Linked DNA regions of Drosophila melanogaster. The gene in region 4 interacts genetically with the main gene of each other region. Each region holds a gene or a part of one and is shown on either strand. Other genes may lie near its edges. The genes, in order: mbc, drpr, Sos and Ced-12.

Region 1 (6,636 bases), on a different chromosome or scaffold from region 4:
CTTTCCCTGATCGGATTCGATCTCCATAACTGCTCTTTGCGGCAGGCAATTTATGTTTAATTAAGCAATTTCCGAGAGCAATCGAAGATTGCAGTTGGTCAATTAGCATAGAAGGGAAACCAAAGATGCGACAATCTTCGACATTGGCAATCTTCGAAACGGGGTGGAATGAATAGTTGCGACTTGGAATGGGGGAAGCGATTGAGTTTCCATTTTGATTGCGAAATGGAAAGTGGAGATTCGCTTGCCAAGGGGGAGTGTATTCTGATAGTGGAGGGTTCCTGGGGTGACGATCCAACTGAAATCAGAATCACAAGTGGATGTGCGAGTCACTTGGGCGGTTGCTCAACTATCCGAAGTTGATGGAGGATGGTGCATGTGTACATGTGTGAGGGTAAAGTCCGGGGATGAGTGTTCCCCGATCTGAGTCAGCAGAGCAAACAATTATGCAGCCGCCCCGAAGGAAGGGCATCTGCCACGTGATAAGACGAATCGGGGGACTCTTATTCGGTTAAGCAACATTATCTTCAAAATTACAAAAGGCAGAGACATTAAAGATGGCAGCCGATTACAGGGTTAGTTGCTAAGTTCTATATTTTGTTTATAAGTAACACAGTTACAAAATCCTTGACTTTTTGAATCTAGTAGATACAATTTAATGGTAACCCAACTTTATTAGGTTAGAAATATGAGCAGATCTTTTTTCGGCTCGCTTCCAAATCTGATTAAGTTTTCACTTGTTGTGTGTGGAAATGGACTAGGAAAAATGCTTTCCTTTGAAATTATGCAAATCAAAAGGCGTTTCATGCATCTTAAACTCTAACGGAGTGGAAAATTTTAATTAAATTGAGAAAAGCCAGACTCTGAAATCAGAAACCAAATCAACTAGGCCCCCTTCTATTCCATACCAACCCATCCCATCCCCTCTGTATATATATTCTTTCGGCATGGGTTTCCACTACACTTTTCACTACTCTCAGGCATCATTAAGTTTTACGTTTACTTTGTGAGCTCTTCCCTCCATTTGATGTTGTTGTATTTATTATTACCGCGGTTGTTGTTTTTGCTATTCAAATTTAAATGTAGAATGCATCTGCGTGGAGTGGGTAAATAAAACCGAGTGTCTGGGTGGAAATGGGGAGCCCTGCAGGTGCACACCAACTAGAGGCAATGAACAGTGGAGTAGTGCAGCAATGAAGTGAAGATGTCACCGCAGGCAAACTTTCAAAAGCATATGCGGCACAGTGGGGCAATTAGAATAACTAAGTGGACGTTTTGGATTAAAACAATTATTACTAAGCTGATCAAATTATGCTAGTTTATACTAGTTACCTAAATATATGGTTTTGTTAATTGTAAATTTGAAAAGCCTTTTTGATGGAAGTTAATTAGCTTTTATGAGTAAACATCCCTTCATTTTGTGGCTATTCGCTTGGTTTACTTTTATATATATTTCAGGTAAATTTCAGGAATCATCCCACTGTGCATGGAGGTGAGTGAGCAGGGAGATGCAGCATTCTCATCCAAAGGAGTGAGTGGGAACAGCATACGAAAAATATGTATGTATGCACCAGATCTTTTATATGCGAGTGACTACCGCTATGCAGGAGGCCGAGGACTTAACTTTAACTCGCTCACTCACTCGCACTTCAACGGAATTCAATTCAGCTGAGTGCCACCCACAAGCACAGGCACACATCGATAAACGATAACTCGAATGGGGCCCATAAAGTGATAAAGCGATTACTCAATGGCTATTGCCTTCGAGAAACTACAATATTTCGAAAATAATACGCAAAATGGATGAGCTGCCAAGCAAATCTTTTGGCTTAAAAAATTTTTACAAAATGTGGGGCAACCGGCTGTTTGCTTAGAATTTGAAAATTGAAGCAAACAAAAGGTATGCAAACAGAATGGAAAACAGCGATAAGACAAGAATACATCAAACTGCTATTGATAAGGAGTTTCTTTTGAATTTCGTATATGCTGTAAGTCGTTTTCGCATTACAAAGGCCAAATTCGCTACTCAATGCCAACGACTAACTTATCTGCCGCCCCATATTCCAAATATTATCGCGCTTAATTACATTATACCACCAACCACCGCTCACCACCCACTACCCCCGTCCACCTGGCCACGCCCCAATGGTACTATCAGATACTCGTACTCGCAGCGATTTCGACAGCTAGTAAACGCGCAAACACAAAAAAGGGCAGAGGCAGAGGCAAACGTGTGTAAATAACAAGTGCAAACACACCGGCAAGCTCCATTCGAGTGTTAACGAACGAGATTCCCAGTTCCACTCGATCTACCTGGGACTAGAGGTACCTGTACTTTATGTACCTGTCGTATCTATTGATCAGCGGTGAAAAGGTCAACAAAACGAGATCCATAAAAAATTCACACGCATTCGAAGCGGGTCGCGATTAGATATTTCATGGTCACTGCCATTGAATTGGGATTTGTCTCACAGTGTACACAGAAAATAAACATTTCTACTGTCAGCTTGATGCAGCTTGCCTTGGGTTTACAAAGACCAGGTTTCAAATCCCACACCCGTAAATACGTAAAAGTTGTAGTACTAATGTTGTAGTACTTCAGATTTAAGTTTATGTAAAATTACATTAATTGTATAAAATTTCTTTATGTGTACCAGGCCTTTTTTCTGGCAGTGTGTTGCAGTTGCACGTGAGAGACAGAGACAGTATGAAAAGCGAGAGAGACAATAGAAAACAGGTTTTAGTTTCAAGAGCAAATCTCAGAATTTTATGCTAGTGTTGACTGAGCAGGATGAAATGAAATGAAAAACGAAACAACACAGTGAGAGCGGGAAAGGGAGGATCAACAGCAGCCGAGTGAGCGTGTGCAAGCGAGAAGGTGCAACAAGTTTTACCGTAGCAACGCAGCAGGAGGCACACACATGCGGTGAAATAAGAGAGAGAGTTAGAGAGAGAGGTGGGGGTGGAGATGAGGTGTGCTCTGGAAAAGAGCGCCCAACAGTTCATAAAGTTTTCCTTTATTGTTGTTTACAAAGCACTTTGTTTAAACATTCCTGCCTAGCCATATTCTACCTAATTTATCGGCTTAATAGCCGCATTGCCAACTTACCAATGCCGAATTCTGCCTGCTTGGCATTGCAGTCGCTCCACACACTCATCTTGAAGGCTTTTCTTCTCGTTGTTGTTGCTTCTACTAGTGTTGTTGCTGATATTGTTGTTTTTGCGCCGACTTTTACCACCAACACGGCGACAAACGATCGCTACTCACACATGCAAAGCGATGGACTTTCGTTTGCGAAAATAAAAACAACAAGACATTAAATTAGGCAACGGCAAAAGAGCAACACGTAGTTGAAATTTTGATTTCGTTTTCACAATGCCGCCAACACAAGCATTTCGCCTCCGATTTCGCTACAGATTTCGACGAAAAGCACACCGGTTGGACAATTGCAACCAATAAATAATTATTGCACAAAAGCTAGCATTCCGCACAAATTGTCGCTCCGCAAATGCATTTTGCGCCGTTTTTCGCTCGTTTTGTTCTCGACTTGTATTTGGGCTGGGAGTTGGCCGCTGCCGCTCAGCTAATTATCACATGTACACGCACTCGATCGCACACACACTCGTGTGTGACAGTTGCCAATTAATTAAATAACCGCTCTCGGAAAACAACCCGCGCGTTTCAACTGTTTGTTGTGAATGAGCGTGCTCGATGCCCAGAAGTACCGTACTGTTCCCAATCGAAAATATCAAATATAGAGTGCCCCTTACAGCGTGTTCACACCGTTGATGTCAAATGGGTTTTCACTTTGTTCGCAGTACGGTCACATAAAAATGTGAAAATCGAGCTTACCTACAAAATACGAGAAACCCAAGTTATAAAATACATTTTCCACACATTCATAGTAAATTTGCTTCGGAGGCACCAAGCAAAAATTTTATTAAGACCATAAATAAGTTATGGTCAATAGTTATGCGCCTGGCAGTTGTATCCTGCTTTTTTACAGTGTATTTTTGCATGCGATTTCACGCCTTGGTCACACTTTTGGCTGCATTTTCTTCAACATCGTGAAAAAATCGGCGCGCCATTTCTGTCCACTTTTTGCGTCAGACTCGGTCGACTCCTGCTGACTTGACAAATTCGCGAGTGTTTATTTGTTTTAAGCTAAGCCTGTCCGGTCCCACAACCTTCGCATCCGGCGCAGCCGCCCCAGCTTGCCCAACGTGGTGAAATCGAAGCATTGCTCATCGCGATAGTTGGCATTCCGGCGAAGGACAAAGCAGGGGATCTACCTAGTATATGTTTGTTATCTGAGCAGCAGCAGCGAGCAAAATGTTTGGCGGCGCGAAACCCAGCTTCGGAGCCACTCCGGCGGCCACCAGCTTTGGCGGATTCAGCGGCACCACAACAACCACTCCGTTTGGCCAGTCGGCATTTGGCAAACCCGCCGCACCGGCCTTTGGAAACACCTCCACCTTTGCCGCCCAACCCGCGCAGCAGTCACTGTTCGGTGCGGCAGCCACACCAGCTCAGCCCGCCGGAGGCTTATTCGGGGCAAACACGTCCACGGGATTTGGAAGCACTGCCACAGCTCAGCCCACGGCTTTTGGAGGTTAGACACGATCATTTGAAGTGGTATCATGTTACTAATTTAGTAATTTCTTCTTTGCAGCCTTCTCGCAGCCGCAACAGACCTCGAACATATTTGGATCCACCCAGACGGCGGCAAGCACCTCCCTCTTTGGACAATCGACGCTACCCGCCTTTGGAGCCGCCAAGCCGACTATGACGGCCTTTGGGCAAACAGCTGCTGCTCAGCCCACGGGCTCTTTGTTTGGCCAACCGGCTGCCGCCACCAGTACAACAGGATTCGGAGGCTTTGGGACGTCGGCGCCTACAACCACCAATGTTTTTGGCAGTGGCACCGCCTCCGCCTTTGCCCAACCTCAGGCTACGGCCGTGGGAGCTTCCGGAGTCAATACGGGCACGGCCGTGGCCAAGTACCAGCCAACCATTGGTACAGATACCCTGATGAAGAGCGGTCAGGCAAATAGTGTGAACACTAAGCAGCACTGCATCACGGCTATGAAGGAGTTCGAGGGCAAATCTCTGGAGGAGCTCCGCCTGGAAGACTATATGTGCGGGCGCAAGGGTCCACAGGCTGGGAATGCTCCGGGAGCTTTTGGATTTGGAGCTCAGGTTACTCAGCCCGCTCAGCCTGCAAGTGGTGGCCTGTTTGGAAGCACTGCCCAACCAAGCACAGGTCTGTTTGGCCAAACTGTGACCGAGAATAAGAGCATGTTTGGCACCACCGCTTTTGGCCAACAACCGGCGACTAACAATGCATTCGGAGCAGCAACCCAGCAAAACAACTTTCTGCAAAAGCCCTTTGGAGCCACCACCACCACTCCGTTTGCCGCTCCCGCAGCTGACGCTTCAAATCCATTTGGGGCGAAGCCTGCTTTTGGACAGGGAGGAAGCCTCTTTGGTCAGGCACCTGCTACCAGTGCGGCTCCTGCTTTCGGACAGACTAACACAGGATTCGGAGGCTTTGGAACCACAGCCGGAGCAACGCAACAGTCAACTCTTTTTGGTGCCACACCAGCCGCCGATCCAAATAAATCAGCCTTTGGGTTGGGAACGGCTGCATCAGCAGCCACGACAGGTTTTGGATTTGGAGCTCCAGCAACAAGCACCGCCGGCGGAGGCCTTTTCGGAAACAAGCCCGCCACTAGCTTTGCTGCTCCAACTTTCGGCGCAACCTCCACGGCTAGCACTCCGTTTTCAAATTTTGGCCTGAACACCAGTACAGCAGCAACGGGAGGAGGCCTTTTTAACTCGGGATTGAACAAGCCAGCAACGTCCGGATTCGGAGGTTTTGGAGCCACCAGCGCAGCACCACTTAATTTCAACGCAGGCAACACGGGCGGATCACTTTTCGGAAATACAGCCAAGCCGGGAGGAGGTCTTTTTGGAGGAGGTACTACAACCTTGGGTGGCACGGGTGCTGCCCCAACGGGAGGACTGTTTGGAGGAGGAACTACCAGTTTCGGAGGTGTCGGTGGTTCCTTGGGCGGAGGAGGCTTCGGTATGGGTACAAACAACTCGTTAACTGGTGGTATTATGGGAGCTCAGCCCACACTGGGTATCATGACGCCTTCACACCAGCCCATTCATCAGCAGATCCTAGCTAGGGTAACTTCTCCCTACGGAGACTCTCCGATTTTCAAGGATCTAAAGCTAAGCAGTGAAGCAGATGCAACAAGAGCTACAAATCCTGCTGCCCAACAAGCAGTTCTGGACCTGACCAGCAACCAGTACAAGATAAGTACCAGCAACAATCCTGCTCCAATGAAGGTAAAGGCGCTGGGCAGCACACTTAATAGAAAATCGCTGTTTGATGGTCTCGAGGAGTTTGATGCTTCTGTAGAGGGCTTCAATCTGAAGCCCAGTGCTAAACGATTAGTTATCAAACCCAAAGTAAAAAGTGTAGAGGGTGGAAATCCCTCTAGCTCTATTGGCAGTGCTCCCAACACGCCCCAATCTCGACCCAAAGGCGCAACTCCCAACAAAGAACGCGAGTCGTTTAGCGGAGCCATTCCAAGTGAGCCGCTACCACCAGCTGGAAACTCGCC
Region 2 (6,773 bases), on a different chromosome or scaffold from region 4:
GATAGCCGAAACGATAATATACAACTGGGGCAATATAACCTAAAGTAGAAAGAGATAACCATTTGGCATACCCCTCGACTTTGCTCAAGATTTTACAAGTGATAAGGGTGGATGATAAGACCGCCGCAGTCATTCTCATCCATTACAACAGCGATGAGGTTCACTGATATTTGTTCTGTTGTAGGTGACTAATTCAGTCTCTCTATATATAAGCAGATCCACGGAACGGAAGGTGCGTAATCCGGTCATGGACAAAGACTAATAGAATAATACCAAATCATCCCGTAACATCATACAAATTTACGATGGACAACGAAATCGTGTGAACCAAACAATCCGGTCTAATTTAATTTGCAATTTGAATGCTAAATCTTTCATTTTAACGATTAGCAGAGTCCACGTTTTTCAAACAAAGTATAAACCTTTGGAATCAAAAATATTAACCATAAACTAGGGTGTTACTCTAACCCATTGCCATTAAGTTTCATTTTGCCACTCAATCTTCCCTTCCGCATATGTAGATCATATTAAAATGCGAACTTGCACGAGACAACGAGCTTACATTTGCAATTTACTTATTTGTTTACATGCCTGATTGGTGTTTTAATGAGCTAAATGAATATGTCGTGGATGAGTCACCTTAGGTTAAACAATGCTAGACTATAGTCTATAAACTATACGGATCTGTTAGTTGTATGTATAATAGGCGAGTGTGCGAGATTTTTCAATGGAAAACGTGTTCGGCACAGTTTGTTTTATCGAGTATCGAATCCATGCACCATTCATCGATACCGCATACCCAGCATCTGTTCCAATGCTGAGTCACTCGGATTTCATTCACAAAAGTCTGGCTAAGGCTCGAACTTCGGGTCAATCTACCGCTCAATTCGCAGGTTTGTATTTCAGACCTTTCCCAATATGTGTGTACTTTTGGCACACCTCATATTTATCATACCTCGCCCTTATCTGCGCCCAGTATTGGACAAGCAGAAACAACACGATGAGGCACACTGATAGTGGTTCTTAATCGGAAGGGGTCAACGAAAAGTTGAGGGAGAACCATAAAATGTTAGCAAAGGTAATAGAAGATTGATTAGAAGTAAGTTGCGAGTCCGTTTCCGCTGGCAATCTGTCTATAATGTATACATATGTAGGTACTTATATATGACTAATTTCCTGATTTTCGATGAAAGCTTTCGAAAGAAAAAAACAAAACAAAAACAAACCAAAGAAAATCTGCGAAATACTTTCGGACTAAGGAGAAAGCTTTGTTGTTAAAAAAACTCAATGGCATTCGTCTATTTCATTCAATTAGAATGATATGTATTTTATAAAGTATAAGCATTGCCTATTTTCGTTCCAATTAAACCTCCATCAGAGCTAAGAGTAGGTCTTATATTCTTCAAGTTGTGTGTATATATTTTGTGATGTATTTTCAATTGATTCAGCACAGTGCATATGTAAACATCTGGATTTGACTTGGATTACTATAATCTTAAGCATAGGGGGAAAATGAGCCAGCTATTCCCCCAACTTCAAGTACTGCGCACTTGATAAAGGCTAAACAAAGATTGTCGCTTCCCGCTTTATATAAACAGAATTATTCTACAAAGGAGGAGCCCTCACTTGAGCTGTACTTTGGATAGCGAAATCAAAGTCGAGTTTACTGAATCCACAATACACATCTCCAATAACCGCAACGCATATGTTTGGCGTTCAGTGGGCAATTTAACGCCTTGGCGAGGCGACAAAGCACATTTGGCAAAAACGATTATTAAGAATAATAAACGATTTCAATGGCAAGAAATAGATTTGGTATAAAAACAAGTTGTTCTGGCCCAGGAAATGAAATTATTGAAAGAATATCAGTTTGCACGAGGTCTAGGGTCTTACATTTGTGAACTACGTAAATGCTAGGCCAATCAAAACTTTCAGTGAACAGTTTAATTAAAGCAAAGAGGCAAAGGGTTCTCAAACGTTATTATTTTGGGATGGATGTTAGCTGCCATTATGAAGTATCAGTGAGAAACAGTGATTTCAGCTGTTTCGTATTCATTTCACAAGTGAGCCAAACACTCAACACCTCAGTTTGTATTGGCCAATTAGCGGGCGAAGCTCGGATTTCTAGCCCGAATTTGGATAGAGCTAGAAGCTTTCTCGATTGATTCAGCGAAGAGAACCGATTTCAGCTGAAAACCAAGAAAACATGTGTATATTATTCTAGTGGAAAGGCACCCACACATTGCAATGCAGACAGACGAACAAGAATTAAGCATAATCATCAGCAAAAGCGAAATGCACTTGCAACAATACGGAGAAAGCAAAGAAAAATGTTGGATAATGCAAACCCAAAGCGAAAAGATAGAGAACAGAGAATGTCGTAATCATAAGGGGAAAACTAACATCCCGACTCATGGGTTGCTCTCTAACCACCGCCACATTGGACAAGAAATCCCAGGAGGTTTCATCCCAGCCACTCCCTGCCACTCCTCCACCCAGCATTATCAATAAAGCTGAGTAATCATGGCGACGACAAAGCCCGGCTCCATAAAGGAACCTAAACAGACATTGTGACATGTACGGCATGGTATGATATGATATGATACCGAGGGTGGGGAGAGTGCACCTCTGAGTGCCATTTCAGTTTTTAATTTTGCAATGGCTTGTGGGACTTTTCGCTGTGCATTGCATTTCGAAGCTCGTGTCCTAAGCAGGCGTCATTGTTCATTAAATCACGTATGATAATAAAAATCAAGTTCCATTGCCAGTGTCAGAAATATAAGGTTAAGCTTAAAATCGCTTGGTTAAGGAAACTGTGTGAAAAATAAAAATGCTTTGTATGGGAAATATGATCGCAGTTTATTCCATACTTATTTAATGAATTCTATAAAAAATAAGAACGGTTTCTACATATATCTTAATTTGTGTGCACCCCCATATTCAGAAGTAATATGAAATATCGCTGAACTGATACCTTAATCAGTACTCATAAAGAATTAAACGCAAAAAAATTTTTTGCGACTTGATCTAAATTATAAACGGCTATTATTGTTATTTATTTTCGTGACGATGCATCGACTGTATTTTAATGTGTGCGTTAGTTAGGCAATTTCGATGTGTGTGAGTTTATGCTGGCTGGGTTTTCATTTGATCCGTTGGCGTTGTTGTTGTTGCGGCTGTGACAGCTGGAAGCTTCAGCAGCAATCTGGAAACTGGAAAGAATCCACAAGATGCGGGTTTCCAGGGAGCGAGGTGCTGGTCGCAGGGGGTCGATGAAAGAGAAGTTTGCCGATTTGCTGCCAATTCCCCGAATGACAGATATAAAGATACATGCATGAGATACAAAGAAGAAGAAGTCGACGAAAGCGCAAAACTAAAGCCAAAGAAAGGCCATTAAATTGTGCGAAAGAGAAACCAGAACAGGTTTAACTGTTCTTGGTGTGCGCCCGATAAAAGCGCTAATTGACACGCACACAAGTGCACTACTGCGGTCATAAACAAACCGCTCGTTGGGAAAGAAGAAAGGTGGAAGGGAAAGAGAGCTGACAAAGCTAACCAGGCGAAATTGCACATTTAACAGAAGAAAACTTATTTTTAACAACATAACAATGACTAAAATTAACGTTAAACTGCCACGATTGGGGTTAAAACTCACCTTGGCAAGAAGCACGGTGTAAACTGGTTTTCGGTTCTCACTCAAAACAAACCAAGAATGCACTCGCAATCGAATTCCACTCAATTTACACGTTTACGAAACTTTGGCCATTAAAACCTCGAGAGGATTTGTATTTTTAAATGCTTACAGCACCTTACCACATATATATATAGCTATATATATAAATTTGCTATTGTTTTTACTTTCTCACCATCCACAAAAACTTGTTTTCGTTGTCGCTACTCTCTATTTTGGCACTCTACTCGCAACTGAGCTGATTTAGCAATTAAAATGCAACCTCTTTAAATAAAAACAATTACTTTTCGTGCACTCCACTAACGACAACAATAAGGACAAACGGGCGCGACGCACAACAACGCAATTCTTTAATGCACTTAAGTATTTTCGTCGGTCAATTGGAGCTCGTTTGGTTTTCGCAAGCACCGCAATTACTATTTACTTTATTTTATATTTGCGTACGCACACCACCGCACGAAGCAGAAATTTATTTAACTTATTTAAAATTCAGCAAGAAACGGACAACCGACTTACTTAGCTGCACTCGCCAGTGTGACCGCTTTGCGAGTGTTGGATGAGCTAGTAGTGTGGCCCTAGCGCACTCCCCAGGAAATACTCACTGTGAACAGTCACTCTTTCCACTTATAACACTTTTCACTTGAAAATAAATTTGAATTCTATCTTAAAACTACATTGTTTATTTGCGGAGTAGATACGCCTGTACCACCTGGGATAAGCAGAATGAAAAACAGCTGGAGTAATTAAAACACTAGTCCCCGCTCATTTCAGATCTCCACCGTCATGGACACGATCAAACTGTGGCACAGTGGGCAAGTTCGGTGCCTGGAGATCTCGGTGGGAGCTGCGCAGTGGTGGCAGGTGGTACAGATCCATATGTTGTTCGTCGGCTGGGTGATGGGTTTCCCGGAGGAGATGCACGCCGGGAAGCGAGCATTGCACTCGGGGCAGGAGGGGGAGCTGAAAGGATCGGCATTCCATGAGTATCATCATTATAATCCAGCTTCTGACGTCGACCCTTCACTTACCTATCTGGCACGGGCACTCCGCAGGAATAGCAATCCACCCTATCGCCAGTGGTGTCCTCCGGATCGTACTTGGCGAAGATCCCAGCCGCCAACTCCTCGTACCGTTGAAGGGTAGCCTCGGGAAGATGAGCCTGTTGCTCCAACTTCATGAAAGCCTTGGAGCAGGTTCCGAAGGCCCGATCCGCACAGCTGGCCAGTGCCAACAGGCTGTAGATGTGCTCTGGAGGCAGGACGTCCTCGTAGTCGCGCAGCCTCACCGCAGTGACCACCGCACTGTGGACGATCCCGAAGCGAAGCTGCCTCTGGGCTAGGAGCATGAAGTGGTAGGCCTCGGCGCAGTGCCAAAGCCTCTCGATGGCGGCCGCATCCTCCAGGGCAATGGAGTCCAGTAGGGTGTTCCTGCCGCTGGCGTAGTCGATCTCCGTCGTGGCCACAGCCTTGAGGTGCTCCTCGGCCAGCAGAGCAGCCAGCACGTACAGCTTCTTGATTCTCAGCAGCGGAGCACGCTTCTCTTGCTCCCGTTCCGCCATTTGAGAAAGCAGGCGAGCTGCATCTAGATGACGCCCAGCATTCCGCTGCATCTCGATGGCTTCCTTGAGGCGTCCCTCCTGGAGCAACTGTGCCGCGTGCTTGGCTATGAGCGTTTGCACCTGGGGCAGCTGGAACCTCTGGGCCAGCTCAACAGCCTCGCCCCACTGCCGGAGATTAACGCAGGTGGCGACGGCGGCCTTCTGGTCGCCGAATCGAAGATGGGCTTGAACAGCCTCGGAGCACATGCCCACGGAGGCCAGCATCTCGGCCAGCTTCGGAAGCAGCGGGCTCTTCTCCGGTAGCCGTTCCACGCACTTTTCCAAGTCGTCGAACTGCTCCAAGTGGTACAGAGCCTCCATGTAACCCTCCAGGTAGTGGGACTTCTCGTAGTATTCCCTGGCACTCTCCCAGGAGCGCAGGTTGGCGAAGTGGTGGCCAATCTCCCGCCAAGCGATCTCCATCTGCTGGTCCGACACTCCCGATCCTCCCATTCTGTACAGCTGCACCACGCGAAACCAATCGCAAAGGGTCATGCGCAGCTCTATGGCCAGATCGCGACGATCCGCGTCCAGGTAGAGCTTCTCCGCCTCCTCGAACTCTCCGTAGAAGGCTGATATCTCCGCCCTCTGCAGCTCCTTGGAGTGTATGGTGCGCAGTCTCTTGACCAACTTAATGCCCGGGTAGTGGGCACAACGGACAAAGGCGTTCTCCGCCGTCTCCAGTTCCAGTTTCTTCAACGCAGACTCCGCCAGCAGTCGCCAGAGCCTCGGATGCGGGTTGTCCTCAATGAACTGCTTGGCATCCTCCAGTCCCACGTGCTCCAGTAGATCGTCGGTATCGCGCAGGGACTTTACCCTCAGCTGAATGATATGCGAAAAATTCTGCAGCTCACCCACGCTGATTATGTCGTCCAGCAGGACACTGGTGATCTCCAAGTCCTCGAAGGTGCATATGTAGCCGGAGCAGGACACGGGCTCCTCGGGATCATTGCCCCGGAAGATATACATGCGCGTTTTCTCCATCAGAGCCAGCAGCAGTGGGTTATCCGTGGCCCAGCTCACGGCCCAAACGTCCTTGCGCTCCACCCGACTGAAGTTCAGTTGGGTCTCCCTGTTGTCGTCCAGGTCGAGCAGGGTCATCACGCCCATATGGTCGATAATGGCGGCTCGTCTAAGTAAGGAGTATAAATATTACTAGTATCAAGGGAGTGTGGTGGACTACCCACGTGGAATTGCAGTTGATAGCCATCTTGTAGACCTTGGCGTTCATCAGGTGGCGGTTCCTCAGAGCCACGTTTGCTATGCTGTACTCGTTGATAGCGCCGGATTCCCTGGCGACAAGGAGCAGCTTCTCGGAGAGTGCCAGCGCACAGATGGGATCACTGATTCCCCGCTGCGTGGAGTGACCATCGCCACTGCTACTGCTCAGCATCAGGTCCTTGGCCATTTCCACTCCCGTGGGCGTGTCGTCGATATGGAACCGCTTCTCCTTGCGCGCCTTCACATTGTGCAGGGTGGAGGCAC
Region 3 (9,655 bases), 1.7 Mb from region 4:
GTGGCGTTTCTCTCTCATTAGCCGCAATCAAGTATGCATTAAATGCAAATGCATTGAATAATTCCATTCTTTGGCCAATTGCTAATTGTGTGAGAAGATGGCAGACTGGCACATACATACTTACATACATAGATTGCCAGTTGGTGTAGGTCGTCGTCTGGCTTCCCGATATCTTGGTCAAGTGTTGCAGGGAAAGCGAAATCTAATGGCGAATAGATATGATCGTGCTCGTCCGATGGCCTTGTCTATAGGGTATGGAGTGCATGGTGCTCTATAAATAAAGGTGCACCCCACCACCACCCCCCACAATTCAACAACGGAAATTCCCCGAGTGTCTGCTATGATGTATTGAGATGTGTTCATAGGACACAATTGGACATGAAAGATGGTCTGTCTTTCCCAGGAATTCCTTTCGGTTTATTCACCCTGGTAACCGCTGGTACTTCACCGAGGATCCAAATCGCTGCGCCATCAGGTGACACATCGCTTTTTGGGGACGGTGGCTGCTGCACACACATAACTCCCCCAAATAACTGACGATAAGGGGCTGGACACGAGCGTGAAAATACGAATATACAAATATACGAAAATAATTCAAAAAAACAACAACCGGTTCCCAGCGGCGAGCAGCCCAAAATTTCAGGAAGCATTTGTGCTCGACGTTCATGACGTTTTAGAAAAGCGAAAGTCAATCCGCGTTGTTTCCAATAAGCGAATGTGTGTGTCCAATTTAATTGCACCTAATGCAGTGAGACAACAATCGCTCTAGTTTTTCCTAACCCACCGAAACTAATTAGCCATATACACAATCTTAATAATGGCTGCGATTATGCTGGACACTGCGAGAATGTCAGGTGTGTTGCAGTCGGATGTCGGTTCACGTCGACTTCATCAAGGCCACTGGGCACATAAAGAATACCCACGATCTTTAAACGTTGGAAAAGCCTTGATAATCTATGCTATTTGCTCAGATTGCCTTGACTTTGGCTACAATACTCTATATTTCTGGTCATCGAAAGATGTCGCCAAGTGTCTAACAATAGGGTTATACTTTATTGTTTTACGTTCTACGATCAATACAATGTTCTCGATATTTACAAATATTTATAATAGTAATTATATAATAACATAATTTCTTGTTTGCATTTCTTGTTGGTTGCTTGGTTGCTTGCTTGGTTTGTGTGTCCTGCATTCCTATCCATATGCGCGTGCCTGTTGTGTGTAAATGAGAGCGTATTTTGTCTGTCTGTCTGTTCTACCTTGTTAAATGAGTGGCGAATAATCTAAATCAGCGGTTCCAACTCGTTTCATACTAGAATACATAAACTGCGCCTACGTATATATGTATATATATATATATATATCTCACGTTCCGTTCTCTCATATATATATCTGCACTCAAGCAGTGCTCGCAACTTTGAATCTTACGGATCATACTCGTAGTTTTCGTCCTTATCACATCGCCAGGCAATTTAAATTATTCTTCGTTTGTACTTGGGTAAAGAAACATCGTACCTTTATCTGCAAACGGATAGGATGGTTGGGTTAGGAAACACGTTATCACGGGCCGAGTTGGTAGCACTCACCTGGATTGTTATAGAAGTTAGCGCTTAGACTAGGTTTTGGTGGAAGTTTGGGTGTGCCCTCGAGGCTCGTGGCAATCGGAAAGAACTCCTTGGGGGACGAGCGCGACTGCGTCGGATTCGAATGGTGCTGGTGCGGATGGTGCGGCAGATGGGTGGCATGATGTTGATGGTGCTGCGAGTAGATCGCTGGATGCGTCTGCTGCTGCTGCTGCTGCCGCATTCGCAGTTGGTGGGCATAGCTGCTCGACGTGCTCTCCACCGGATGGCTGGGAATGTTGGGAGACATGGGCGACATGGCGGGTGTCAGCGGTGATGTGGTCGTCGAGGAGCTTGCCGCTGGCGAGATCGGTAGCGGCAGCGGTTCGTCCGTCGCCACTGCCTGCGACACGGTCACTAGTGTCGTGCTGATGGGTCCCGCCGCCGCCTGGTTTGGCTGGCTAGTTGCCGCTGCCCGCTTCTCGATCGCCGAGTTGCGGCGTATCATAATACTGCTGGTGTTGGGCAGGAGCAGACTGCTGTTGCCCACAAACTCCTTGCTCTTGCCGTGGCTTTGTCGCAAGTAGCTGATGCCCGTGGAATGGTTGAGCCGTGGCGGTATCGGCGGCGGACTGAGTTCGCCATCACGCGGGGGTAACTGCAAGGATACGTAAAATGATTGCTGTCATCTGCTACTACAAATTAGAAGTAAGTGAGGCTACTTACTGTGGGTGCGTCTGGCGCCTGACGCTTTTGCGCCATGTCCGCACAGCTCTCAGTGCGCTCCTTGCGTCTGGGTGGCAGTGGAGGCGGCACTGCTCGGTACTCCATATTGGTGGCCATCGGAACGTTGACATGCGGCGAGATGGGCACTGCCCCCGGCTGTCCCTGATGGGCACTGTTAAAGTAGAATCCACCCGCGCAGAATTCCTCCCCGCCCGATGTAGACATGCCTGTAAGGGTCACGGTACTGGCAGTGCTATGCGTTGGGCTGTTCTGCATGCGCCCATGGAATGGTGATCGATTGCCGGTTTCGTGACGCGGACTGACCACTAGCTTGGGCAGCGGCGACGGTGGAGCTTCCGTGTCCGATGCGAATGGATTGCTGTCCGGCAGGGACTGCGGTGGCAGATGCTCCGGCAGCGCTGGACTGAACACAACATCCATTGCCGACGCACTGGCCAGTGTCGAGTTGTTGTTAGCCCAGACATGCGCGCCCGGTTTCTTGGGGAGATGTGGCGCCGGCACCGAAACCTCCCCGTTGTTCTGGTCCGTTCGAGTGTGCTGTGGCGTTCCACTCCAGCTGCTGGTGTTCCGTTCGGGTATAATAACAGGGGCGAAAACGGAGAAAGCGTGCGGATTGTGCTGCGGACTTTGCTCGCCAGCGAGAGTTCCAGATCCAGCATTAGCTGCTGCTGCTGTTGGCGCATCCATTATGCTGGAGGCGTGCAAAGATGGCGCCGATGCCGTAGCTATTGAGGTGGCCGTTGACGATGCTGCCGCTGCCGCCGCCACGGACGACGTGCTGTTCGACAGCTTGCTACTGCTGTTGGTCTGATTCTGGCGACGCGGCTTGATGCCCGGCGATTTGAGCGGAATGTGCGGCCATTTTCGAGGCTACGAAAGGAAAATGGTTAAATTTCCTATATGACTTGTAAACTTTGAAGCATTATACTTACGAATTTCGGCACTGTCTTGCAGCCCCTTGGCTCAATGCGCAGGCTTTCGTTATAGAGATAGTCGGACATCTGTTTGTCGGACAGTCCGTTAAACGGATCCAGTTGCTCGAAGAACTGTCGTATTGTGGACTCCTCGTTGAGGCAGTATGGCTGGTTCTGGTACTGTTGAATCTCGCCAATAATCTCGGCCACTTTCCGTCGTTTGGAAAAGTTAATTAGCTCTGTGTTGGCTAGCAGGTCGGGGTTACCCTCCTCCAAGTGGAGTATGTTGGTCAAGTAGCGACCGAAAAATGGCACACAAGGCGGATTGATGGATCGCAATCGCTCCTGATACTTTTTGAGATGATCGTCGCTGAGCTCGCGGCATTCCTCCAAGAATTTTCTGTAGCGTTCGGGCAATCCCTGGAATGTCCACCGCAGTCGATAAACAGATGCCGTGCCCATAGCCGCGACAATCGAGAGGATTCCATTAAAATTGTTCAATTCCAGCATCACCATCATCACTTCGATTGCGCGTTGCATAATAGCCAGGCGTTCCTCGTAGTTCTCCGCTTCGGTGATGGATTTTTCAATCCAGCGGGTGACGTTCGTGGTGTGCTTCATTATCTTCAGTAGATTAGGGCTCTTCACCTCCTTGTCCTTTTTCGTCCAGGGTGATCCGACCAACTCAGACGGCTTTACATTCTTGTACATCTCGAATTCCAGTAGAGTGAGCTGACGGGCCAGTTCCAGTGGGTGCAGGGTGAGGAGCGTTATCTCGTCGTTGGGTACACTAAGGTGATGCTCAATGGGCGGCGGATCGTGGCCATAGGCGTATACAATCTTTTTATTGCTTTTCTCCTGCTCGTTCTGTAAATAATATTTGAAAAATGATAACGATACTTCCACATTATGCTGTTGACCAACTACTCACCTTTCTCTGAACAATCTTAAGCACGGAATCCACCCACTTGCGCATCGATTTGCCATTCACGTGCTCCAGAAAGTTCAGCAGCTTCTCCAGCAACATGGGATCCTTCTCGAAATCGTAAAAATGATGGTCGACCCAATGGCGCAGTACGTTGAGCACTCGAAACTGCACTGGCTGCACGTACTCCTTGCGATATCGTTTCCAGTCCTCGCGATGCGAGTTCTTGTGCTCCTTGTCACCGCCAACGCCGCCCATTCCACCCGCACCTGCTGTGCCCGTGTCTTGATAGACCAGGCTGGGATCCGGTATGTTAAAGCGTTCCACCAGCAGTTGCAGCAATTGCTGCGGCGAGCAGAAGTAGCGATATGTGGTGAGGAAGGTGCGCACAAAAGTCGGATCGGCGTAGATGTGATAGGTGAGGCGCTCGATTAGCTTGCAAAGCGTCGCTCCCTTGATCATCGGCACTCCTGCGCTTTCGCGCTCCTCCAACACGATATTGTCACCGCTGTCCGGCACCGCGAACTTGTAAATCTCCGGACTGGGCATCCGCAGCGGATGCTTTCGCTCGATGTCTTGCAATATGCTGTCCAAGTGCCGGTCCAGCATCGACTTGGTGATAACCATCAGCAGGTCTGCCATCCAGTCGTGCTTGTGCTGTGCATTCTTGGCGGTCAGCACAATGGGCGGCTGCATCCGGGGTGCCAACTCAAAACTGTTCTTCAGATCATCGCTGTCCGGTCGATCGTTGATATCCACGCGTCGCATGAAATACTTCTCCTTCAGTCGGTAGTCGTAGGCCGTTGCTCCTGCCGATGGTGTTTGTTTCTTGGTGTTTGCCTTGCATAGCACCATTAGCCCGTCGAAGAGGAATACCTTGCGCTCGCTCCAGATTCGTTTTCCCGATCCAAGTTTGCTCAGCGAATCCTCTGTAAATTTGAAATACCATTTTAGTTGGAGGATGCAAGTAACTTTCGTTGCCAGCACTTACCGCGAATAAATTCATTGCAATTCTGGCCCACGTCCTTGTCCTCCCAGTGCTCCACCTTCATTTGGAGCTCCCGTGTCCGCTCGATTGCCAGCTGGCGGCGCACTCGACCGCTAACCGGAACTTGTCGCTCCTTGGACAGGCTGGCCATTACCTTTTCGAGATCGCAGTGGAGTGGATGCAACAGTCCCTGTACCTGTTCGAAGCTCTCGATGTCGTCCTGCGAAGAGCTGAGATCCTTGAGATGCTTGATGTAGTCGAAATACACGAAGGCATGGCAAATGGGCACCAGAAGCAGCTTGGGCAAATAGTATTTGACCGCATCGCGGAAGCCATGGCCGGCTGTGGTCAGAGATGAGGCCTAAAAGCAGGGATTTTAGTAGAATTCTTCGCACAGAAGGTATCAATACTTACCCCTGGCTTAGACAGGAGATTGTTGAGAGCATCCCGTGAGGCCTGCGAGGTAACGTCGTAGGCGTACTTCTTGTACACATCGAACTCCTCGGCCTCGGCCAGTTCCTCAAAGCAGCTACCGACGCAGGGGGCACTCTGCTCCTGGGACATCTCGATGACGTCCTCCAGGGAGCCGAGCAGAGTGACCGTCACCTCGTAAATGTCCATTATGTTGGAGAATATCGGTTCCAGCTCGCGCGGATCGGACACGATCTTCACCAGCTCCTCACGAAAGACGCGTATGATCATGTGCAGGTCGCGTTGGTACTGCTTCTCGTCGTGGATCAGCTCCTTGACCGTCTCCTCGTAGGTGGCACTTGCACGCTGCGCGGGAAGTGACAGGGGACTGGGCAGGATGTGGGCTTCGCTCTGGTTGAGCATGTCCATTAGCACACGATCGGCGTTCATCACCACCTCGATGTCCTCCTTGGTGATCTCGCAGTGGGCGATCTTGATCACATAGTCGCCGGCCATTTTGAGTATGTCCGCTGAGATGTACTCGAGCACGGCCACCAGGAAGGCGGACACGGAGCTATCGATCTTGTACTGCAACACATCCTTCTGGAGCAGCGTGTGCACCTTTTCCGTGGGCAGGACAGACTTGCGTTTCTTCGAGTTGATCACCTCCTTGGCCTCGTTCAGGGCCCACTGATCGATGGGCGCTGGAAAGGACTTGTTCACCTTCTCCTCCACATCCTGCACGGAATGGGGCAGCGGCTTGGCGCACAGCATGGCCAGAAGCCGCAGACAGAGTTTCTCCACATACAGCAGTGCGTCCTCCTTGGCGGTAACCCGTGGATGCACTTGCTCCAGCACCTTCTTTAGCGATGGCGTAAACAAGCCCCTCCATCTCGCAGCATTCTCGCACTTGGTGAAGTCATAGCCATCGCAATCCTGCAGCCCAGCCACGCCACCGCCGCCAATGCCAATACCACCGCCTCCGCCCTGTGAGCCACTACCACTACCACCGCTGCCGCCGCCGCCTCCAGTGCCCAGACCGATCCCGCCCCCGTAGCTAATGGTGTGGGCATGGCCGCTGGGCCCCGAGAACATTCTGTGCGCCGTGGAGTAGCCGACGAGAGCCTGCCGTGGAGCACCTTCGTTGGCCGCCTGCCCTCCGCCTCCCCGCCCGCTGTGTTGTGCACTGAATCCAGCGACGAGTGGAGTGGAGCGGAACCTGGAAACTGGAAACCTGGAACCGTGGGGCACCTGGCACAGCCGGATCACCCGGGCGAACGTCGCATGGCAGTCACACACACTCAAGCGCACGCACTGAACTCGTTTCGAATCTTGAACGGGGCTCGCGCGTCCGTTTCGTTTGCAAATCGCTTGGGCTTCAGCACTTGTTTTCAGAATATGTATCTTCGATATATATATGTATAATATAATCTTCAACTCAATATAATATTTTTCGCGGTGTGACCAGAGTGCGGCACTGCCTAAATCCAGTAAATGCTCGCGACCAGCCCTGATTCGATGCTTAAGAATGTACTAAAAAATCCAATGTAGAGAGCATTCGTGTTGAATGGCTTTTTTAGCAGAAGAAGAAGCATTTTGAATTTAAATTGCAACGAGCAGGTTTAAAATATATTATAATTTACCCAAAAAAAATGAATTTAATTATCTCTTCAATGTTTATATTTCAAGAAATTTATATTTATATTTATAAAATGTCTTTCCTTATCTAAAATCGTAAGGAGATATGCAACATACATATCGACTCATCCCTTATTTTACTTGGATAATGTAAGATACATCCGCTTTCAACGCTTCTAAATCGAAAACAAGTACAATGTGTTCAGTTGAAACAATTAAACATATGAAAGCAATGCAATGCAACAGAATACAAAAACCAAAAACAGTTAGGGAGCTAGCTTCCAGAAGTCGAAGCTTCTATACCCTCGTATAATTATATATTTGAAAAACAATCCATCCAAAAACCATAACTATACGGTATATAGTATACATATACACATATATGTACACTTTTACTTTGTTGTCAAATTTTCAGTGTATAATACTTCAGGTTTCAATGTCCGCTTATAGATTGAGTTGCATCGGGAACGCGGAATGGGGACCCCATACCTCCAATCGTTCCAGCTCACTATTCAACTCGGAGGCCATCGAACAGTTGCGCGATAAGTGGACCCACTTCTTTTTTAACCTGCCAAAGGCGCCTCTCGAATTGCAGCTGGCCAAAGCCCGAGCGAATCGTGCACTCGAGCTGGTCAGGAGCAAGGAGAAGGCTGCTTTGGAACGGACCGAATCCTCGCCAAGAAGTAAGTGCCGTCCACTCACTGCTCTGCACAACTCGCCGCGTACCACGAATCGAATGAAGCTGATCATGGAGACTCGCGTGCGTCCAGCGATCGTCAAAAAGTCAAAGTCGGAGTACAATCTATGTCCCAGTTGTGGGCTTGTCAAGGACTCGATTCTCAATCACCAGCACGCCGAGCAGCGACTGAAGAAGCTACTGGCACAGCATCCCAGTTTGCTGCCAAAACGACAGCATAGAAGGTCAAACTATTTGCGTATGCTATAACTAGATAAATTGCAATTTTTCTTCCAAGAATGCCAGCCATTTGTGTCGTCAAATATATTTAGTTGTGGGTAATAAGGAGGCAGAGTGTGACTATCTTTCCAGTAGCGTGCCGCGCTGCTTCTTCTGCGGCGGAGGTGCGTCCTCTGTCTTGGTTTTGATGCCCACATCGCTCAATTTTCCGCCTTTGCGCTGCAGTTGCTTCTCGATAATCCTTGCGTTGTTCGCATAGCTGTCTGCGATCTCGCGCTGTTTGAATGAACAAAAAAAATGGTTAGTTTGAAAGAGTTGTAGGTTTGTTCGTAGATGATGCAATGATAGATTGGATTTCCTGCACCATTTACAAACCAACTTTAGCTGACAAACTTACCGCCTCGATTTCATCCTCCTCCTCGTCGATGGTAGACACCGTGACCGAGCTGAACTTGCCCATGTTCTTCGTGTGTCTGGTGACGACGACCTTCTTGCCACTGGCATCCACAATACCCGAATCGTCTGGACCGGCGGAAGTCGCTGGCTTGGCAGCCGGTGCCTTGAAACTGCCCTTGATCTCCGAATTCAGCAGCTGTGTGAGAGGACTCTCACCCTTGTTGCGGATTAGGGCATTGGACATGACGAAGGTTACGTGGGAGTCGGGACTGTGGCGATAGTAAAGCGGCAGACTGCAGCTTCGGCACTGAAGGTTAAAGGAAAACATTAGGTGAACTAATGACGGGTAAGGAGTGGAAGTCAGCTACTCACCTTGTAGCGGTACTGCTTCTCGATCCCATTGCCCCTGCTCTTGCGTTTGATGTAGACCATCCTCGGTGTGGGATTGTGGGTGAGTTTGTTGGCATGGTCGTTGGCGTTTATCACACGGGCGTTGTCCACCTCTCGTAGCGGCAACTGTTCGAGGGTGCAATCTGTAGGATAGGCAAACATGATGTACTATGCTTTCAGTTAGTTGGCTCCAGTAATCTTACCCAGAATCAGAGCCATCTTGTTGCACAGACAGTAGTAAATGTTTAGCGGCTTTTCCTCGTTGTACTCCTCCTGATCCTTGGTATCGGAGCAGACGATACTGCGCGACACTACTTTGGGCATGGTTATTTGTGGGTTTCGGACTTATGAAACTTATAAAATTAAAGTAATTTCCTATTTCATTAAACACCGCAAGTAAATAAATAAACAGTGAGACCAGAGTGTGCAAGCAAAAGGTAAACAATGCAACACGCCAATCGATATTGCTATTCGATTACCGAACTTATCGGTTCGCACATTTGCGAATATAAACAAAAATGTGTGATAACAAAAAACCGACTGTTAAGGAAATTGCGGAACTTTGTTTAAAAAAATTCGAGTCCTTGCCAAAAACAGGAAAGCCCACAGCCAATCAATGGACAATTTTGGCGGGAATCGTGGAGTTCAACCGGAACACGGAAGCATGTCAACTAGTTTCGCTTGGATGCGGAACAAAGTGCATTGGAGAATCCAAACTTTGTCCCAATGGCCTCATCCTGAATGATTCCCATGCCGAGGTGCTGGCAC
Region 4 (7,159 bases):
TGCTGTACGGCGAGGTGAAGAAGAAGTCCCGTTGGATTCCCTCAGTCTCGGAAAGTTGGGGCTGGCTCTTTGGCGGAGCTGGAGACTCCAAGGGACCGCTGTTTCTATTTCTCTTCTCTGTGCTACTTTGGGGCTATCCCATGTACATGATCCGTGCGATTCCCATTACGTGGAACATATTGAGACGCTCGCACTATTGCTTTATATACTGGAACGCCGTAATGTGGATAAGCTGGGCCATTGCCAATCGCCGGGATCCGGGGTATATACCACTCAGTTCGGATGCCTACTACCGGGCCATCAAGCAGATTCCGTACTTCGACAAACTGAAGAAGCGAAATGTGATGCTAACCCGACTATGTCACAGCTGCAGGTGCCTCCGGCCGCTGCGAGCCAAACACTGCCGCGTGTGCAACCGGTGTGTCTCGTACTTTGACCACCACTGTCCCTTTATCTACAACTGCGTGGGACTGAGGAACAGAATGTGGTTCTTCCTGTTCGTCCTCTCGGTGGCCGTCAACTGCTCGTTCACCATCTACTTTGCCTGCTATTGCGTGATGATCGAGGGCTTCACGATGCTCTATGTGCTGGGACTCATCGAGGCGGTTGTGTTCTGCGGCTTGGGTTGGATACTCACATGCACTTCGGTAAGTGCTTCTTTTCCAAAAATATTAATCGTTTTGACATCATTTGCACTGGCAGATCCTGCACGCCTGCATGAATCTCACCACAAACGAGATGTTTAACTACAAGCGTTATCCTTACTTGCGGGACAAACGCGGACGATATCAGAATCCCTTCTCGCGTGGTCCCATCCTGAATTTACTCGAATTCTTTGTCTGCCTGCCGGACCGGGGCGATGACAACGATCTCCTGCTGGAGGATAACATTTGATTAAGGATCTAGGATCGAGCCCCTGCTCGCCGGCGCAAGCTGCCCGTGCGTGGATAATGTTGCGAGGAGGCAGCCAGAGACCCACTCGGGTAGGCTGCCAGTTTGGTTTTGCTCCGCAGGCTTACTGCTTACTCGAATGCTTTAAAGTTCGAACCAAAGGTCGTCAAGTGCGTGTTTTATCATTTACAATTGCAATCAACATATCCTTGCGGAAGGACAAATCGATAGCAAATTCCAAGTGCAATTCAGAGCATCAATAAATTACATTGCTAAGATTCCATTATTGTTAACGGCTCCAAATCAATTCCTTCCGCAATGGTGTTCAAAGCATCGGCCAGCCGTGCTTTTTGCTTTTTTTAACTAACTAATTACCTTTTAGGCTTGGATAAGAATACGCTTCTCTTGTTAGTTTTTGTACAAAATTGTTATGTATAAAATGTGTTATTTAATGATCTCTATATATTATATACCTATTATAATCATAAATGGTGTAAAGTTCACTAAATGGCTAGGCAGCGGTTAGTCACTTGGACGTGACCGTCACCAGTTTGTTCATTTTGTGTTCGGGGAATTGCACAAGTAATACTAGTAGAAGATCAGATCGGAGAATACGATTATGTTGTGTGTACACTTTGGCATGTATCTTGGGTGATGGGGGAGTCTAGAATGAATCGAATAATTCGTGAAGTAATTGTGCTCGTTATGCTTAGCTCTCAAAGCAAAAATCATAGTTTTCGGGATCCTCCGGTATTGGCGGTGGGTCCTTGCTGATGTCCACACCTTCCGTGTCCAGCAGGCGCAATTTGATCTCCATCGACAGCAGAGTGTCGAAGTCCTCGTTCTTTTGCTTGCTGACCATCGGTTGACCCAGCAGCGCGTTTATTCCATCCGTCCAGTAGTTGAATATGCTTTCGTCGGGTGCCACAAAGTCCAACGTAGAGTGCTCCATGTTTTCGAAGGTGATGGAAAAGGCCAGGTTTACCGCCGATTTCCGAATGCGAGTTTCCTTCATATGCGGGCATTCCTTGCCCTCTAGCAATTGCTTAATCTCACTGATGGGCAGTTTCTTGGGCAACTCCTCCATGGTGGGTATTGTCTTCTCGTCGCAATCTCCGTAATGAATCACCTTGTGATTCGGCGAAAGACGAGCGTACCAGAACTTGTCCTTTGTTCGAGTGCCTCGCAAGTATTTTGCAAAATGTGTACCTATAAGTGCAAGATTTATCCATGTTAAGATTGCCCTTGAAATGTATTTATTAGAAATTGTACCTTCCACCAGAAAAGAGAGCCGTTGCTGCTTGATTAGCTCAAGAATTTGCGGTGATATCTTCTCTTTGAGCTTAACAATCGCCGAAGCTGTGGAATCACACTCCTCCTTCGAAGTGCGCTCCTGCTGGCGCAGTGTTGTGATCTGCTGATAGGTCAACAAAGCGATCTTGTTTCGGAAATCGTCCAGGTTCTCGGGTCTGCCCTTTAGAGTGCGCTGGATCTGCTCCCGCACCACGCTGAAGGTTGTGCTGAAGTCCTCGGCAGTGGCACGCATATCCTTCCATGTGCGATTCAGCGTAATGACGCATATGCAAAAGAATTCCTCGAACGGCGAATCGTGCGTAAAGAACATGGGCTGAAAGTCACCGGATTGCTCGGCTGGTGGCTCGCCGATGCGAAGGATGTCACATAGCACCTTGACCAATTCGATGGAGGTGCGTCCGAAGGGACACTCGTGCTCATCCGCACGGCAGGAGTTCTCCCTGACGATCTTCGCATACTGTTGCGTGTAGTTGCGTGCAAAATACACCATGCAATCCAACGCTAATATACCTGAGAAATACGTTTCGGATTATCAACCAAAATAGCTTTAATATAAGAACATATTCTTACCCGGCGGCGTCTCAATGAAATCCTGGGCAGGGTTAATATCGCACTTGAAGCCCAGCTTTTTGTAGTACTGCGAGAAGTTGACATTGCCAGCTCCGGAGCCACCGCCACGACGGATGTGATCGTCGTTTTGATTCAAAGCGTTGGTATTATCGTCGAAGGCAATGCGCCGCAGCTCCTTGATCTTCTCGTGCGCGTCCTGGTCCTGCGCGTTCATCTTCATACGCATGCGCTTCTCCAACAGGCCGAGAGTCAACGTTTGCAGCACGTACAGCTGGTGGGTCATCTCTGTGCCCAGTCCATTGCCGATAAGGGCCAGGCGGAACTGCTTGGCACTAATAGTTTGAGCAATGGTCCTGCGGCGGCCCTCGTCTGCTTTGACGAACAGAGCGTTCAGCAGGGCTATGGCATTTTGTCGCATCACCGGCGAATTGACATCCTGAAGCAATCGGAGAATATCCTGCAGCTTGATGTCCTCGGCAACAAGCACATGTTTATTGCTGCACATAACAATGTTCTCCAAGTTGGACAGGGCGCTCTCACCACAGTTCGTAGGATATTTCTGAAAGTTTCGCACGATCTCAATGTTGCGGGCCACGAATGAGTTTTCCGGCACCTCCCAGGACACCGTGCCGTGCTCCATCAGCTCCACAAAGCTGGCCAGGCTGTATTTCAGAATGTCTTCGTTGGTCTGGCCGCCATCCTCAATCATCTTAATGAGTGTGTCGAGACCCTTCTCCTTGATGAACTCCAGGGCAAATGTGTGATCGGTGCTTAGGGAAGTGAGCTCCTTTAGACGCAGCGCCTTCTCCTGTGGACTGCCATTGAGCAGCACCTCCATGGCATCGCAGGCAGTCTTGGATGGCGAATACTGCAGCTGCAGTACGGAGCCATTCTTGATCTCATTGCGATTCTTTTCGGTCACGTACTTTCGGTTAGTGGGCTCGTAGAACTGGAGTGCATAGTTCTGGTGATCGCTGATGGACCAACCATTGCAAATTTCCTGGATTTTACCTGCAAGCGAAGGCGGCATTAATACGCTGTAAATAGCAACTTCCTGACCAATTGTATGATTTGCATATAAATGAGAAAGAGGAAATGAGTGCGCTGACATCACGATAACACTTAAACATAGCGAAGGGCGTTGGTTGGAAGTTCCTCCCTTATGATGGGTTCCTTTGCTACTTTCAACATAATTCTGGTTTATTAACTTCTTGGAACTTTGTTTTACATGTTTAAAGCAGATTCTCTTTAAAACTGCTGCTCAGCAAGCGAAAAATCTTTGTTTTTATCCGCTATTTACTCACTTGCCAGCGGATGCCTTTGATCCAGATTTATCAACTGCGCTATATGGTCCTCTCGCTCCACGGCTATTTTCACAATGTGTGAATCCTTAACCGTCGTCTTTTTTGGTATCATTTTGGCACTCTTTCAATTAGCGATAATTGCAATTATTATTGTTTTTCTGCGTAAACTTATATTCTTTTTTTTTTTAATTCAGTGCAGTGTGACCAATTGACAAGTAGTATGGAATATCACACAGCACACAACCGTTGCGTTTTGTGGCATAGGCAACACTGGGCGGGAAAATTATGTGGATTTGAAATAAATATTTTAATGATAACAGCGCAGAGTAATTTCCTAGCTAATAAATGTATTAAAGTGAAAATAAGCAAGCAAATATGTTGTATTTTGTTTTATTTTATCGTCAGCAATTTAATAAGTTCACCGACAACCTTTACATTAATACTATTTCCCAGCAGTCGATACTTTTGTCGATTCGTTGTTTCTGGCGGAAATTCAAAATTCTCCGGAAAACTCATTAGACGAGCAACTTCCCGTGGCGTGAAATAGCGCAGTCTCACCTGGTGCAACAGGTCCAAGCGTTGCTGCAAAATCTTCTCCGACTTCGATGCATCCTGATTACTTGTGTCAATTTCCTTGACCAACTCGAAGATGCGGTGGGATTCGTCCTCCGAAAGCGGTGTGTATGCAGAGCCCGTGCCCTCGGTGTAATGGGTGTAGCCCTTTGTAAAGCACATGGATCTACTTTGAGCAGGATGTATTATGTCCATGACCAGCACTCTTTTGGTCAAGACATCGTCGGGCACCAGGAAATCGGGTGATACATTTTCCTCCACAATCTCGGCAATTTGTGAAAGACCCTGATTCTGGGCTATAGCACCCGGCATTTCTTCCCAGATCTTTCCACCGGCAAATGGAAAGTCTGCACCCTTGCGGGCGATGCAATAGTAGCGATATCGAGTATTTGGCACATTGAATTGCGTTGGCGTTAGAATAAACTCCCGCCAATGGAATCCCGACCGCTCCAGCGATTCAATAAACTGATTTCGCGCCTGTGAGCTCTCGAAACCCTTGACGTTTTCCATGAGTATGTACTCCAGTTCCTGGCACTCTGGGATCAGTCCACACAGATGAGTAAGTGCATCCGATCGCTTGTCTTCCGTGTCCCTTTGCAATCCCTGGCGAGTGTGGGGCTGACATGGCGGGGACATCAGCAGCATGTTGGCCTGAAGCTTTGTGACTTCCTTTACACTCAGGCTTTGAATATTCCTAGTTTTCACCAAATTACTGCCGTAATTGTGCGCATAAACCGCATTGGCCACGGTGTTGACATCCAAGGCGGCAACTATTTGTCCATCCAATTGGGCATCTTCAAAAGTATATATTAGTTTCGCATGTATCATGATCGACGAACTCACAATTAAAGGCATAATGCATGCCGCCAATGCCACTAAATAGTTCTAAGACCCGAAATACCATTTTAATTAAATATATTTTTGTTTACAAACTACACGTTGTGAGTGGCACGTTTTCCAACACTGCCCCACACAGCAGATTGTCTGCGTTTCCGTGTGATTGGTATAAGAAGAAGAATATCAACACGTGCCGCTCGCATTTTTGTGAATTCGTGATTCTCTCGGAATAATGATAAAAATTAAGCGAAAAACAGCCCCTCCGCCCGTGGAACAGGACTCGGACAGCGATTCCAGCTTTGACGAGGAGGAGCCACAGGATTTGGAAGTCCAGGAGGGGCCAGTCACTGATAGCAGCGATGAAGAAGCCGCCTCCAGCAGCAAAAAAACGGCCAAACAAGGGGAAGCCAGTGAGGATTTAAAGGAAGAGGATGATGACGACGATGAGGAGGAGAATGACGACGACGACGAAGAAGAGGATGATGACGACGACGACGACAAGAAGACACGAATTCCTGTTTTGAATCCCCTCAGCTGGATGCGCAACAAGGAGCAGCGTTTGGCGTTGTACAAAAAAATGAAGAAGGAGAAGCACAAGAAAAAAATGCAGGAGCGCCGTGCCCGACGGAAGGCTGGTGTACCCGCCAATCCTGGTCACACCATAGAGAGCCTGCGAGAGAAGGACCAAACAGAGGTGGCCAATCTGAACGATTCCGACAACGAGGAGTTGCAAAAGGAACTCCAACTGGACGATTTCAGCTCGTACTTCGAACGTTCGTACGAGCCAAAGGTGCTGATCACTTTTGCTGACAATCCGGTGACCAAGACGCGTAAGTTTGGACTGGAGCTTTCGCGCATATTCCCCAACGCCCTGGTTAAGATTCGCAACAAGTCGTCGGTGAAGAAGATATGCAAAAGCGCCGAGCGCGAGGAGTTCACAGACGTCGTGATCGTTAACGAAGATCGCAGAAAGCCCAATGGGCTGCTGGTCATTCATCTGCCCAATGGTCCCACTGCCCACTTCAAGCTGTCCAACGTGAAGCTCACCTCGGACATAAAGCGCGATCACAAGGAGATAACCAAGCACAGGCCCGAAGTGATCCTGAACAATTTTACCACACGTTTGGGTCTGACCGTGGGCCGCATGCTGGGTGCCCTCTTCCATCACGATCCCGAGTTCCGCGGCCGCCGAGCGGTGACGTTCCACAATCAGCGAGATTACATATTCTTCCGTCACCACCGCTACGAGTTCACCAAAGAGGGAAAACGCGTAAAGCTGCGCGAACTGGGGCCGCGGTTCACCCTGAAACTACGTTCCCTGCAGGAGGGCACATTCGACAGCAAGACCGGTGACTATGCCTGGATAATCAGCAACAAACGGCACGCCATGGAGTCGCGACGTCGCTTCTTCCTCTAGGTGTATTTCGAGGCATTGTATTTAGGTATAGAACTACTTAATAAACCAACAGTTAATACGAAAATAATAGCTTGATTGAAGAGAGAGGTGATAACCATTAGCGACCGCCGTATTGTTTTGTCGGTGATAAAATAAAATACAAATTTGCCTTAGCCTAAAAAATGTGCAACACTCAACAGTTAACCAATTGGCACACCACGAGACTATCGTGCTCCGTCAGCCACTACATGGTTGGGCACTGGGGACCGGGACC

What was found.
Region 1: of Ced-12 (region 4) and mbc, changing one enhances a phenotype caused by changing the other (phenotypic enhancement), as found in Drosophila melanogaster (one study listed by BioGRID).
Region 2: of Ced-12 (region 4) and drpr, changing one enhances a phenotype caused by changing the other (phenotypic enhancement), as found in Drosophila melanogaster (one study listed by BioGRID).
Region 3: of Ced-12 (region 4) and Sos, changing one suppresses a phenotype caused by changing the other (phenotypic suppression), as found in Drosophila melanogaster (one study listed by BioGRID).

Annotation. Positions count from the first base shown.
Region 1 is NT_033777.3:23,778,862-23,785,497, reverse strand, and holds the start of mbc (myoblast city), read right to left. Parts: upstream 3,734-6,636; 5' UTR 3,159-3,733; coding exon 3,110-3,158; intron 1-3,109. Other genes in the region: Nup98-96 (nucleoporin 98-96kD), read left to right, coding at 4,334-4,613, 4,674-6,636.
Region 2 is NT_037436.4:1,726,870-1,733,642, forward strand, and holds the start of drpr (draper), read right to left. Parts: upstream 4,239-6,773; 5' UTR 3,656-4,238; intron 1-3,655. Other genes in the region: Oseg4 (outer segment 4), read right to left, coding at 4,459-4,651, 4,720-6,420, 6,476-6,773. UniProt on the Drosophila melanogaster protein: Receptor which is involved in the phagocytosis of a variety of cells including apoptotic cells, severed and pruned axons, degenerating dendrites, salivary gland cells, germline cells and bacteria.
Region 3 is NT_033779.5:13,811,201-13,820,855, reverse strand, and holds Sos (Son of sevenless), read right to left. Parts: upstream 7,041-9,655; 5' UTR 6,643-7,040; coding exon 5,551-6,642; intron 5,498-5,550; coding exon 5,140-5,497; intron 5,078-5,139; coding exon 4,155-5,077; intron 4,091-4,154; coding exon 3,242-4,090; intron 3,180-3,241; coding exon 2,289-3,179; intron 2,221-2,288; coding exon 1,587-2,220; intron 1,522-1,586; coding exon 1,478-1,521; 3' UTR 1,032-1,477; downstream 1-1,031. Other genes in the region: CG16888 (uncharacterized protein), read left to right, coding at 7,622-8,131; CG16865 (uncharacterized protein), read right to left, coding at 8,222-8,377, 8,499-8,804, 8,870-9,030, 9,091-9,211; Adat1 (adenosine deaminase, tRNA-specific 1), read left to right, coding at 9,406-9,655. UniProt on the Drosophila melanogaster protein: Promotes the exchange of Ras-bound GDP by GTP. Functions in signaling pathways initiated by the sevenless and epidermal growth factor receptor tyrosine kinases; implies a role for the ras pathway in neuronal development.
Region 4 is NT_033779.5:12,094,983-12,102,141, reverse strand, and holds Ced-12 (Ced-12), read right to left. Parts: upstream 4,305-7,159; 5' UTR 4,192-4,304; coding exon 4,080-4,191; intron 3,787-4,079; coding exon 2,776-3,786; intron 2,716-2,775; coding exon 2,164-2,715; intron 2,101-2,163; coding exon 1,601-2,100; 3' UTR 1,303-1,600; downstream 1-1,302. Other genes in the region: patsas, read left to right, coding at 1-647, 703-894; Mt2 (methyltransferase 2), read right to left, coding at 4,470-5,446, 5,496-5,556; CG6712 (uncharacterized protein), read left to right, coding at 5,722-6,906; Pex19 (peroxin 19), read right to left, coding at 7,130-7,159.